Linked DNA regions of Coturnix japonica. The protein of the gene in region 1 purifies or fractionates together with the protein of each later gene. This does not show direct contact. Links are inferred from orthologs where the notes say so. Each region holds a gene or a part of one and is shown in the gene's direction. Other genes may lie near its edges.

Region 1 (6,015 bases):
CATGGGAGCTGAGTGCAAACTGTTGTTATCAGTGTAGCTGGCGTGTGGCTGGCTCACTGGAAACAGGTTTGCATGAGAACTTCGCCAAAGACTGAGCCATGTTACAAGTAGTTCTCCACAGAATATAGTTGTCAATTAAGAGGAATTATGTTATGCTTTCCAGCTGATGTGCACACCTTCAATGCACTGATTACAGCAGTCCCATTTCTGAAGGACAGGTTCCTGGAAAGATGGGAATTAATCAAGGTAAGCAGGTAAAGGAAAGGGCTTACAGTGCAGGGCCTGGGTCTGTGATATAAGCTTGCTGTTGTTCAGAGACTGATGCTGAAAATGAGCTTTGTAAGAAGATTGCAGTATCTTCTGCAAAGGAATTAATATTGGTTTAAATACCAACTGGCTGTTAAGGAGTGAATGATATATTAAATCTAACTTTGTCCTTGCAGAACAGTTTGTCTTCTGAGAACATACTGATCCAAGAACTGCCAAGCCAGAAAGAAATTGGGAAATTACGATCATAAATCATAATTATGATCATAGAATATAATGGGAGGTTTAAAAAACTAGGCTAAAAGCTCTTCTTTGACTTGTGACTGATTGTGTTGGAAATAGAATTTAGAGGAGTAGTAACATTAGAGGTTCCAGTACTAACAAGAAAACATCAGAGAGGAAGATCAGTTAGTAAGTTTAACAATTTCTTTGATATTCTGGTCAGAAGTCTCAAAGCTCTGATGTGATGTCATTTAAGTAATCTTTTCTCAGTTAAATTAATTAGAGTGAAGCAATACTCCCTGCAGTGGTTACTTGAGATAGTGTTGTTCGCTTGCAGGCTATGAAAAGGATTAGACTGGGGAAGTATATCTCTGCCTCCTTGAATGATGATAAACTGTGATCCATCATGTGTGAAGCACTAAGGGTTTACTTTCCTTTTAAGATGTTCTTGACTCACATGGCTCAGCAGGAAGTGCAACCAAATGTGAGAACTTTTAATGCTGTACTGAAGACTCTGAGAAGATGTGGTGGTGTAGGCAGAAGTATGGCCATGCCAGTAATGAAGGAGATGGAAGCACTTGAAATTGGTAAGAGAACCAGAAAGCCACAGCCAGAATGAAGTCTTTGGATGCTGTAGCCTCTTAAATTAGGACCATGTTTATTGTTAACCTAGTTACATCTAGGTCTTCAAGGACAGGTGGGCATGCAGTGGGCAGGTAGTAGTTGCACAACTGATTTGATATGTGGTGGAGGGTGATTTGCTCAAATAACAGCTTATTGATACACTAAAGGCATGTAGAGTAGAAAGCTAGGTACAAAACATTACTGCTGTTAAATTAGAGCAGGGAGTCTTGGCCACATGTCCCTTAGCAATATGATGCTCCAGCTGATTATCCGCTCTTAGACATTGTCTCTTCCAGTTGTAATTTTTGTAAAGGAGGTTTGGTCCATCGTTAGGGTCAAAGGGAGAGGGGTGATTGAGTAAATTATGGATAGTGCCTGACTAGAAGGCATGGAGACTGTGAATCAGAGCTTGGGCATAATGCTCAGTTGAGAATGTTGTCCTAATTTCAATCTTCTTGCTTTTCAGAGCCTAGCCTTGCAACGTATGATCATCTTCTCTCTATATTTTATAAAACTGGTATGTGCATTATTACCTTGTCTGCAAATGTATCTTGAGTAATATCTGGTTTAAATGCTTTCCAAATGCAATGGATGAGAGCAGTCGATTTATGACCTCACATAAAGGTGTGCAGCCCTAACATTGTTAACTACACTGATTCCACTTGAGTGAACAAAACACTACAGAGTAGAATTACTTCTTCAACAGAAAAAAGAATCCTTCAGAAAACTTATTTTCTTGAGTTGATAAAGGCTGCTCAGTCTTTGTGGAGGAGATTCTGTACCAACATAGTTGATAGTACAGCTGAGGTGTGATATTGCTTATTTGTTTGTCCCACAGTTGATCTTGCCCCATCAAGCATCATCTCCGAGGTGCTGGATGATGTTGAAAAGAGGAGCTTCACTCCCCAGGACCCTGATGATGGTATGAATTTCATCCTGTCTGACAGTCGGGTGTTAGAGGGGCAGTTGTAATGGCTTGGACAGCTGTGGGCGTGCTGAAGAGGTGGGTGACGTACCTCAACACCTGTCTTGGTGTTCTCTGTGTTCTCTGCCATAGCTCAAATGAGAACGTAGCTTTTGTAAAGCTGCCCAGGCCCAAACAGATCACCTGCATTGCTATATTGTCAAATTTAGCTGCACTTTCAGTTTCTAATTGAAAATGTTGTGTCTGTCTCTCAGGAGGGTGGGTTAGTGAGTTGCTGTGTGTCTTATTGAAAGCTGGAAACTAATGCGTCATTTTTTCCCTTTCAGCCAGATTTTTTACCAATGCCATGCAGGTGGTAAGTAACTCATCCCTACTGGACTGTCAATGAGTTTTCCAGCCTGTCATGTGAGATTTAGCCCTCAGCGTCATTCCCTTTTTCACCTGTGTCCATCACCTTCTGCAACCCTTCTGCATAATCCTGTGGTTTTTTATTTGATATTTCTCAGTTGGTAACTTGCCTGTTCATGCATTTCTTGGTACAAAGAGCTACACAGCTGCCTGTGTTCTGTGCCTGCCTCCTGCTTCTGGCAGCAGTCAGCCACCTCCACACCTGAGAATGTCAGTGTAGCTCACACAGCAGCTTTGGCTTTTGCCCAGAGAGAGAGTCACTCATTTGTCCCATGTAAGAAAAGTGCTTAGCAGTCACTGCACTGAATTGCGTTCCATTAAGGACGTTTGCTGTCAGACTGTTACTGGTCTGTGTGAAAGTGAGTCTTGGGAGAAAGTGTTAAGTGTTACACTTGGTATCTTTAACACCTGACTCATTTCTTGCAGTGCTGTGATCTTAAGGATATCAAGCTTGCCTATCGTTTAAATAAAGCAATGGAGAAGGGAGACAATTGGAAGTTCTTGGACATGGATCGCTTAAATTTGTACTGGTGAGTGAAGTGCATTCAACATTCAGCATCTTGAGTGTTGTGATCAATTTGAGGACAAACTGAGATTTGAACGTTACCTGCCCAGAGGACAGAGAGGAATGTTGTAGATCCAGCCCTTCCATCTCCTCAGTTTAGCTTAATCCCCATCCAACATTACGCCAACCAGAGGAATCTTTTACAGTCCTGTTATCCACGTAGGATGGCAGTTCAGGAGACCACAAAAAGTGGCTGTATCTCTGTTGTATGTAGAGATCACAGAGTACCAGATGTATTCAGAGCTGTTTTCCCTCTTGTAGGTCAAAATTCTTTTCGTTGTTGTGTATGATGGAACAAATTGATGTCGTGTTGAAATGGTACAAAGAGATGAGCCCTTCGGTGAGTGATTCCTACTGTAAGCTTTAAAGCTTTACAACACAGAACCAGTACGATTACAGTCCACTGAAGTGATTCTTCCTTCATCAGCTCTTCTATCCGAGTCCTAAAAACATCTTGGACCTCCTCCAAGCCCTGGATGCAGCCAACCACTTGGAAGTGATCCCTTCTGTCTGGGAAGGTTGGTGGGAGCCACATGGCTACGTGGGGTTATAAGCTGGGAGCAGTGCACAGTGGGAGGTGTTGGGGAGTACTTGGAGGTGCTCAGAAGAGCTGTGGTCAGATGCTTTGGCAAGAAGGATGTTATTCCTGAGATTCTTTGCCTATTCATTGCTTTTTAGGCTGGGGAGGCAAGAATGCAGATATGGTTTCAGTGTATAGAAAATATCCTACTGACTGCTGTCTGTATCACAACAGATATGAAACAGCTGGGGTTTAATAAGAGACGAGATCTGTTGGAAGAAATTCTGTCCTTGATGAGCAGGGATCAGCACCCTGCAGAGGTAAGGAAGCCCAGTAAGAAAAGAGTAAAAGATGTCTCTAAACACAGCTCTCCTGACCGGAGTTGTTTAGCGTTAACAATGTGATCCTTTCACAGGTCCAATTGGCATTTGCCAAGTGTGCAGAAGATATCAAAGCAGTCCATGAGCAATCTGGGAGAGATCAGGTCCCACTGGAATGGACGGGCAGTGCACTGGGCAGTGTCACTGTGGTGTTTTCCAGGGCTGGGAGAACCCAGGACGCGTGGTACGTGTGTGGCTGTCAGGAGCTCTTTGGTGATGCTGTAACTCAGGTGTAGAACAACTGATTTTCTACAGCTTCCCATTTCCTAATTTTTAGAACTCTTCACCAAACTCCTGAAGAGTTTAAATGGGATAATTAAGTTCTTAATTAGCCCTGGGTCTAATTAAAACTGAAGTGAATATTTTTAGAACCCCAAGATTTTAATGTGAACTCGTCACCAGTCACACTGGTCATTTGTTCTGTAGTATTTGAAGGTGTTCTGTGTTGCTGTTCAGTGACGTTAGGTGGTATGTGATGCATCTATAAGCATATGGTATTGGATGTGCTGGAGCTAAGGGGTGTCTCTAGGAAATAGAACTCACCTGTGTTTCATCTCGGCCTTGTCCCAGAGGTTTAACACCTGTCTATGCCTGTGTTTTGTTTTTGATTTTCCTTTTGAACAGGAGCATGATGGAGCGTTTCCAGCAAATCAATAGGATTCCCACGTGAGTACATCCGGGTTCTGACTCTGTGCACCCAGTCCTCTTTTGTCTGAGATCTTGCACTTCTGTTATGACTGATAATAGCAGACCATATCTGAGGGCAGCTGTTAACAGCACTTTGTGCTTGCCCTTTTCTGCAGCCTGGAAGGAGGACTTAAGGCTGCCAGGTCCCTTCAGAGCCCCTGACTCAGTTTGGGGAGTAGAGAAAGGAATTGTACCATGAGACTGTACCATGGCTGATAGTTTGTGGGTTGTGAATGTGAAAGGAAAGTTGTTTCCATGTTGTTAGAAATGGACTTAAAGGCTCTCTGGTTGCAGTATTCCCTGCAGTACCAGCTGTGAACACTTGCTTGCTTCTTGCTGAAAGGCAACAAATGTGCAGCAGCTGTACAGGTAACAAAAGAGCAGAGCCAGCACTACGACATGCAGTGGAGCTGGAGGAGCAGAGCTCTTTGTGCCCATGGACATCACAGCAGCAAAGACATGCTGGCCTGGGATTTTAATCACTGTTTCTGTACCTCTGCTGTCCACAGCGTAGGCCTCATGTGGGGGCTGTAAAGGGGGAAGGGTTACTTAGGCTGTTGTAAAGGTGGGGTCTTCATCCTGGGCAGTGGGCTGCTACCATCCATTTTTGTGCAGTACTGCTTTCTATATGGATAGGAGTTCCAAAGTGCATCATGTTGGTATGGGGTGAAAGCTGAGGTGCATTTGTAACAGCTCTGGCAGGAGCAGAATTAGGCTGCTTATGTCATTTGAAAAGTGTCCCCTCCCTTCCCACCCTAAGGCAGCCAATGGCCACCTCACCTGGGGCCCTGTGAGCCACCACCCTCTGCCTTTGCTCTTACAGTGACCTGGTGATGGATGAGTTCTTGAACTGTGCTAAACAAACCAATTCCCCGGAGGAGGCGATTAAGCTGGTGAAGCTGGCAGCATCCCTTGGTCTTCCTTCATCGCAGAAGCTTAAAAGCAGAATAGAGAAGGAATTTGAACTCTCTGAAAACCAGAAGTAAGTTGGCCTGCTTTATGGTATTGCTGTAGGGGTATAGTAGGCAGGGTGTTAGAGGGATAATTCCTGTGCAAAGGCTTCTCTGCTAGCACAGCTAACAGAACTTGCTTTCAGAATGATGATGTGCTTTTGTACTGACTGCTTCATCCACACCTCAAAAAATAACCCCTCTTGATGATGCTTAGAAGGGAATGAATGTGACCTTTCACTGTTTTGGATATCTTGTTTCAAGCAAAAGGTTCCAAAGGTTTTTTCAACATATTTTTTGACTCAACTGTTTAATATTTGCAGGAGGACACTGGAGAGCATCCAGTCAGACAGCGACAGCAGTGACAGCGACAGTGACAGCGACAGTGACAGAGACTAGCTGTCCTCCCTGCCTTCCCATAGGGAAAAGCTGAAGTGCTCTGGTGAGACACGTGCTGCTTTCTGGCT
Region 2 (6,115 bases), on another chromosome or scaffold:
TGTGCTCCTGAAATAACTAAATAATTGGAATATATCTTCTTTTTTTTTTAAAGTATTGAAATGTAAATAAAGGATTTTGTTTAATATGTGCGTAGTGGATATCAGTAAACATGTTTGGGAGTGGATTCTTTAGGCAAAAAGGCCTGCTGCTTTCATTGTGCATTGCCCCGAGCTGATTCAGCAGAGAATGTTTCCCTTGTGTGGTGGTGAGAGACATTGCTTCAGGGCATTTGCTAAGGGGAAAGCAGAGATGAAAGGAACACACCTGAGCTGTGCTGCACCAGCGCTGCCTGTGGGGCTGCCCTGGCAGAGAAGTTCTGGGGGTTGTCCTGAATCTTTCTACATGTCACTTTATTGAAGCACAGGACAGGATCAAGGCATGATGGGCAGGGTTTTCTGGGCTCTGGGGTGAGTTTAGTTCTGCTGTTAGTCCTCTGGGCCAAAAGGCATCAGGTTCCTTTAAGCCACTGGTGTTAGAGGAATTAACATGGGTGTTAGAACGGTGTTAGTAGAAGGCATTTTGTCCAGCAAGCAGAGAATGAGCAAGCTGTAGAATTCAGGACTCAGAGTCATTACAGAGAACAGAGTTGAGGCTGAAGGTTTGTGGTAAACCTCTCATTGTCAGACTGGGATTGCAGGCTTGTCTGCTGGGCAGCTTGAAGTCACCCTTTGTGGGTGCTGGGCACCAAGGTGAGTTTCCCCTGCAGCACTCTCAGTCTGTGCTGTCACGTGCAGCTGTTTTGTCCCATCCCAACCTGCTCCTGGCTCAGCTCGATGCTCCATGAGCTTTGCCTGAGGTGCAGAGTGTGGGGCTGTCTGAGGGTGGTGTGGGCTGACGCTAATGTGTGATCCTTGTGGGCATGCTTTGGTGTCATCTTCTATCTAACAGCTGTTTAAAATCTACAGGACAGGCTGTGAGACTGCACAGCTGCTGAGAACACTTGCACTTGATTCTCTCCTGCTCAGCGTGTCTCACTTGTACATGCAGTACACTGGGTGATGAAGGAAACATAGCATCCCCATAGCACCCCCATGGCACCCCATAGCATCCCCACAGCATTGCCATAGCACCCCATAGCATCCCTGTAGCGTCCCATAGCACCCCATAGCATCCCTGTAGCGTCCCATAGCACCCCACGGCATCCCATAGCATCACCATAGCACCCCATAGTATCCCATAGTATCCCATAGTATCCCATAGTATCCCATTGTATCCCATAGTATCCCATAGTATCCCATAGTATCCCATAGTATCCCATTCTGGCTTTGCACGGCCAAGGTTTCTCCTAGGAGCCAAGGGCTGAACATTCCCCCACGGAGGATAAAGCTGGGCCCTGTTCCCATCTGTGGGTTATTGGTGAGCAGAAAAGGAGACGTTTGTGCTGATGGGACGCACCCAGATGCCACTTTGCCATATAAAGCACATATATCTGCTCCGTTTGACACCCGATGCATTGAGTATCACCCTCCCAGCTGTGATATTAAACCGGAGCCGGTTTAACCGCCCGTTCCCCATTGCAGTCACAGCCCGGGGGTGTCTCTGGGAAGCGGCTCATTAAACCCGGCTTTGAGCAGCGCTCAGAGCTGCGGCCTGGCTGTGAAACGGCCCAATTACAGGCGTGTGCCTCGAGGACACACCGTGCTGTAATGACGGCGGCTCCTGCTCCACATCCGGGCCGTCCCCGCGGCCCGTTGGCTCGTGTTACCGTCGGTCCGTTACGGACACACCGGGCACAACGGCCGGACCCGCAGCGCCGCGACCTCGGCCCCCTCAGAGCCGGCGACCAATCAGAGCTGGGAGGCGGGGAGAAAGAGTAGGCGGGAGGAAAAAGAAGCCCAGCAACCGCCGGCTGCGCGACCAATGGGAACGCGGGGATGAGGAAAGGCAGGCGGCGCGGCCAATGGGCTTTCAGGGAATGGCTAACGCCGGGAGGGGAAAGGCGCACGGGATTGGTTCGCAGAATGACGGGCGGGGCGAGCGGCCAATAGCGTCGCGCGCGGGCGGGGCGCGCGGGGTGGCTAGCCGGTGCGGGCCGCCATTGTGGCCAGTTCGATCGGTATCGGGAGCGGAGAGCGGAGCTCAGCGAGCCCGGAGCAGGGAGCAGCCCCCCCACGGCCGGCCTCAGTCACCATCACACCGCGGGAGGCGGCGCAAACAGCCAGTCACCACCACCGTCCGCACCGAACAGCCGCCGCCATGAGCAGCGAGGCCGAGACCCAGCCGCCCGCCGCCCCCGTCCCCGCGGCGGCTCCCGCAGCCAACAACGCCGAGTCCAAACCCAACGGCGGCAGCGGGAACGGGAGCGGCGGGCTGGGATCGGCGGCACCTCCCGCCGGCGGGGACAAGAAGGTCATCGGTGAGGGACGGGGGCAGCGGGGGGCGGGGGGGCCGTTCCCCACACAGCCTCCATCTCCTCACATCCACCCCCTCCATCTCCATTCCATCCCCTCCATCCCCCCCCCCTCACATCCCGTTGGCCGTTGATGCGCGCGCCCGCTCCCCTTTCCCGCCCCGTTCTCCCCCCCGCGCGCGCGCCGCTCTCCGCCGGGCCCCGCGTGTCGGGTGGGGGCGGGGCGTTGCGGCTCAAGATGTCCGCCACGCGGGGCCTTTGTGTGCGCCGCCCCGCCACGTGCCGCGCATGACGCCGCGCTCTGCTCGTCCTCCTTCACCCCCCCCCTCCCCTCTCTCTCTCTCTGCCAGCAACGAAGGTTTTGGGAACAGTGAAATGGTTCAACGTACGGAACGGTTACGGCTTCATCAACAGGTGAGCGGGGCGGCGGTGGGGGTGGGGGGGCGCGTGGGGGGTGGCGTGGCCTGCGGTATAAGGCCTTAACTGCTTCCCGGCGCGGTGCTGCGGGCTGTCAGTACGTTGTTTAAAGCTCGGTGTGAAGTTGAGGCTGTGAGGAGTCAGAGGGATTGATGAGCTTCAGTGAGAGTCATGAGCTGGGAAGGAGCAGCTGTGGGCATCAGCGCAGGCTGCTGAGGGGATATCTGCAGTGAGGGACCTGGTGGCCAATAGGGTGACTATAAACCAGGAAGGTTGTGTCTATAAACCAGGAAGGTCAGCAGCACCCCACAGTGTTGTTAGCAAGGTGAGGGAGGTTCTCCTCTCTGCTCTGCCATGGGGAGGCCACATCCAGAGCACTGGGCCTGGTGCTGGGCTGCCCAGTTGAAGGCAGGCAGGGAACTGCTGGCAGAGCACAGTGGAGGGCTGGAATGAGATCAGGGCCTGGAGTGTCTCCTGTATGAGGAAAGGCTGAGAGGGGATCTTAGCACTGCTTCTAAGGAACTAAAGTGCAGGAGTCAAGTCTGTGGGGGCAGACTGTTGTTGGTGGTGTGCAGCACAGAGCAAGAGGCAGGGAGTAGAAGCTGGAACACAGGAAGTTCCATAATAGCACAAGGAAGAACTTTACTGTCAATAGTGGAGCAGTCAGCCCAGAGTCGTGCTTACTTATCTACAGATGTTAAAGACCAAAGGATAATCACCTCTGTGACCTGTGCTGGGGAACACACCTTAGCAGGAGGTTGGGCTTGATCTCTAGAGATCCCTTCTGACCCATACAGTTCTGTGATTATGTGATGTCTAGGCCTTGAGAAACGTGCTGTCAGGCTGTTTTCTCTGCCAGCAGCTGATCTAGAGAACGGTTCTTCCCTCAGTCACTTTGGAGTGCCTGCAGGTGGTGGTGGTTCTGCAGAGCCCTGTTTTTCTATGTGGTGTTGTCATGGAACAGCCCTGGAGGATGTTCCTCTGCCGGGTACCTGGGATGCAGGAGGCCCCAGGGCAGCTCTGTTTCCTGCTGGAGTTCACTGCTGCTTCTCTCGTTTGTGACAGCACGTGGCTCTGAGGAGCAGGAAAGTGCTGTGAGCTCCATCAAGTTACCACGGTGAAGAAAGATACATGGAATGGGAGCTGGTGACTTCAAATCTGCTGTCACAGGGGTTGACAGGAGGAGGCTGGGGAATCCTCCTCCAGGGAAGCAAGTGTTGGTACTGATGTTTTCAGGAAAATTTGGCCTAAATGTCATCTTTTCATCTACCTGTTATACTGTGGCCTGGTCTTCATCCTCTGAGCTCTGACTGGTGAGCAGCTCTAAAGCCTGGCCCAGTGGTGTTTGAGTGTCAGGTGTCAAACAGCTGTTAGAGGAGCCCAGCAGCATCCCCTGCTCCTGGAGGTGCGTGCACAGCTCCAGCTCACTAACAGCCTCTGGGAGGGTTTTTTCCTGTTCCACTCATAGCTGCTACATGAGTCAAGTGTGGAAGCAGGAGCAGCTAGTTAAGACATCTGAATGGCTTCCCCGCTCATATTATATTGGCATCTGTTTAATCCCTGAGGATGCTGTTCCTAATGAGAAACACAGCGTGAGCTCCTGTTATCAAGAGATGAGAACTGAGCTGGAGCACATTTCCCCTGCTCCCAAATAGCTCAGGCTCACCACAAGGGAAGCCGCAGGAGCTTTGTTTGGGTCTGCTCGCAGCTCACGTTGGCTTTGGTTGTAGCCTGTTGTTGTATATTAATATTAAGTACGTCTATTATTCCCTTCTGAAATATTAGCTTGGATTCTGTCAGCTGTCAATGAAACAACTGAATGTGCTGGCTGTTGAGCTGCTCTTGTTGCCATAATTGGGGCTGCACACTGATAACTGGCTTTGTATTGACAGCTTTGCTGTGTTTTCTTAATCACCGCTTGCTCTTCTGATTTTTATTACTATTTTTAGTAAGAGGTTAAAGATACTAAGAGCATCGATGAGCTGAGTGCCTCACAATGGGCAGCTCCTGTTGTGCTTCCTGTCTTATTTACAGATGGTTATTCCCACACCATCCGTGTGGCAGCTCATGTGCTGCTCCTCGATGGGCTTAGTGCAGAAATCCCATGGCAGACACTGGGTTTTAGAATTAACCAGGAGGGTTCTGAACAAATCACATCTCCACCTTAATCTGCTTCAGTGTAACTGAGTCGTTTACTGAGCCAGAGCTCCAGCATGATCTTCAATGGGAAATGTGATGTAGAAAGGGCTCTAAATGAAATGAGGAGCAGCTGATGTGCTTGGAGGAATGGGGTTTGGGAGGAGTGCAGAGCATCCACACTTGAAGAGCTCTGCATTTGTTGGGAGCACAGTGAGCACTGACTGAATGCAGGCGCTGGGCTTCCCTCAAGGCCCTCAGCTGGAACATCTATGATCTCATGTTGTGTTTGTAAGAGTTTTAGGCTTTTTAAGAGCTTCTGGGTGCTGCCTGGTGGGGCTGGGGCTGAGCTGATCACCTTCTGTAGCCCTTTGGATGAACTGTTTTCCGTCAGCTCTGAGGTCAGTAGTTCTTGCAGGCGTCAGTTCCATAAGGAAATGGGTGTGTGGTGCTGGTACTGTGTGACGGGGCAGCTGTAACTTGGATCGAGTTGTTCACAGTATTGTTATTGCCGTGTGTTAAAGGCACGGGGAGGAGTGACTGGCTTTAAATGAGTCCAGTTCTGAGCACTGCAGCACTAGCTGTGCCTATAACATGTATTCTAGGAAATAAAAGGCATTCAGCAGTTGATTCATTGGGCTGTGGAATGACTTGAAGTGACACTGCAGCAAGGCTCAGCTGGTGTGATGTGAGCCTGAGGGCTCACAGCTTGTGAGCGGTGAGCACAGCTCCGGGGCTGTGCTGTGTAACTGTGGAGCAGGAAGCTCCCTGTGCCCTGCTTGTCTGTTAGCCACGCTGCTGCCCTCATAGAGCATTCATCACTGCAGGAAATGGAGCTGGGGACGCAGGCTGTGTGTGCTGCTTTTCATAGCCTGTGATGTCACATCTTCCACTGTGCTATCCCAACTGATGGGCTGTCAGGTGTTTTTCCTCCGAGCCTGTTGGTGGGATATGTGGGGAGGGAGGAAAACACTCAGCACCTCACACAGGTCCCCAACAAGGTCTTTCTTTGAGGCAGCCTCCCCTTAGAGCAGGCTGAGCAGTGCAGAGCTGACAGCTACTTGTCCCGGTGCTCCCCTGCTTTCCCCTCACCCCTAAACAACTGAATTTGAAGCTGGGCCCTCACGCAGCTTGTCTCACATCTGAATTTCTCTTTGGTGCTGTCTTGCAGGAATGACACCAAGGAAGATGTGTTTGTCCATCAGGTAAGA

Evidence for each region. The genes of interacting proteins can lie anywhere in the genome.
Region 2: the proteins of PTCD3 (region 1) and YBX1 purify together in Homo sapiens (co-immunoprecipitation; 4 studies listed by BioGRID and IntAct, with this or other methods). This does not show direct contact. The link is inferred for Coturnix japonica from reciprocal best matches to the Homo sapiens genes PTCD3 and YBX1.

The regions. Positions count from the first base shown.
Region 1 is NC_029519.1:77,494,570-77,500,584, forward strand, and holds part of PTCD3 (pentatricopeptide repeat domain-containing protein 3, mitochondrial), read left to right. Parts: exon of another isoform or gene 1-100; intron 101-163; coding exon 164-246; intron 247-931; coding exon 932-1,076; intron 1,077-1,579; coding exon 1,580-1,630; intron 1,631-1,951; coding exon 1,952-2,035; intron 2,036-2,364; coding exon 2,365-2,393; intron 2,394-2,872; coding exon 2,873-2,976; intron 2,977-3,272; coding exon 3,273-3,351; intron 3,352-3,438; coding exon 3,439-3,529; intron 3,530-3,765; coding exon 3,766-3,851; intron 3,852-3,946; coding exon 3,947-4,095; intron 4,096-4,535; coding exon 4,536-4,577; intron 4,578-5,421; coding exon 5,422-5,580; intron 5,581-5,871; coding exon 5,872-5,947; 3' UTR 5,948-6,015. UniProt on the Homo sapiens protein: Mitochondrial RNA-binding protein that has a role in mitochondrial translation.
Region 2 is NC_029536.1:5,558,518-5,564,632, reverse strand, and holds the start of YBX1 (Y-box-binding protein 1), read left to right. Parts: upstream 1-2,021; 5' UTR 2,022-2,197; coding exon 2,198-2,357; intron 2,358-2,701; coding exon 2,702-2,765; intron 2,766-6,075; coding exon 6,076-6,109; intron 6,110-6,115. UniProt on the Homo sapiens protein: DNA- and RNA-binding protein involved in various processes, such as translational repression, RNA stabilization, mRNA splicing, DNA repair and transcription regulation.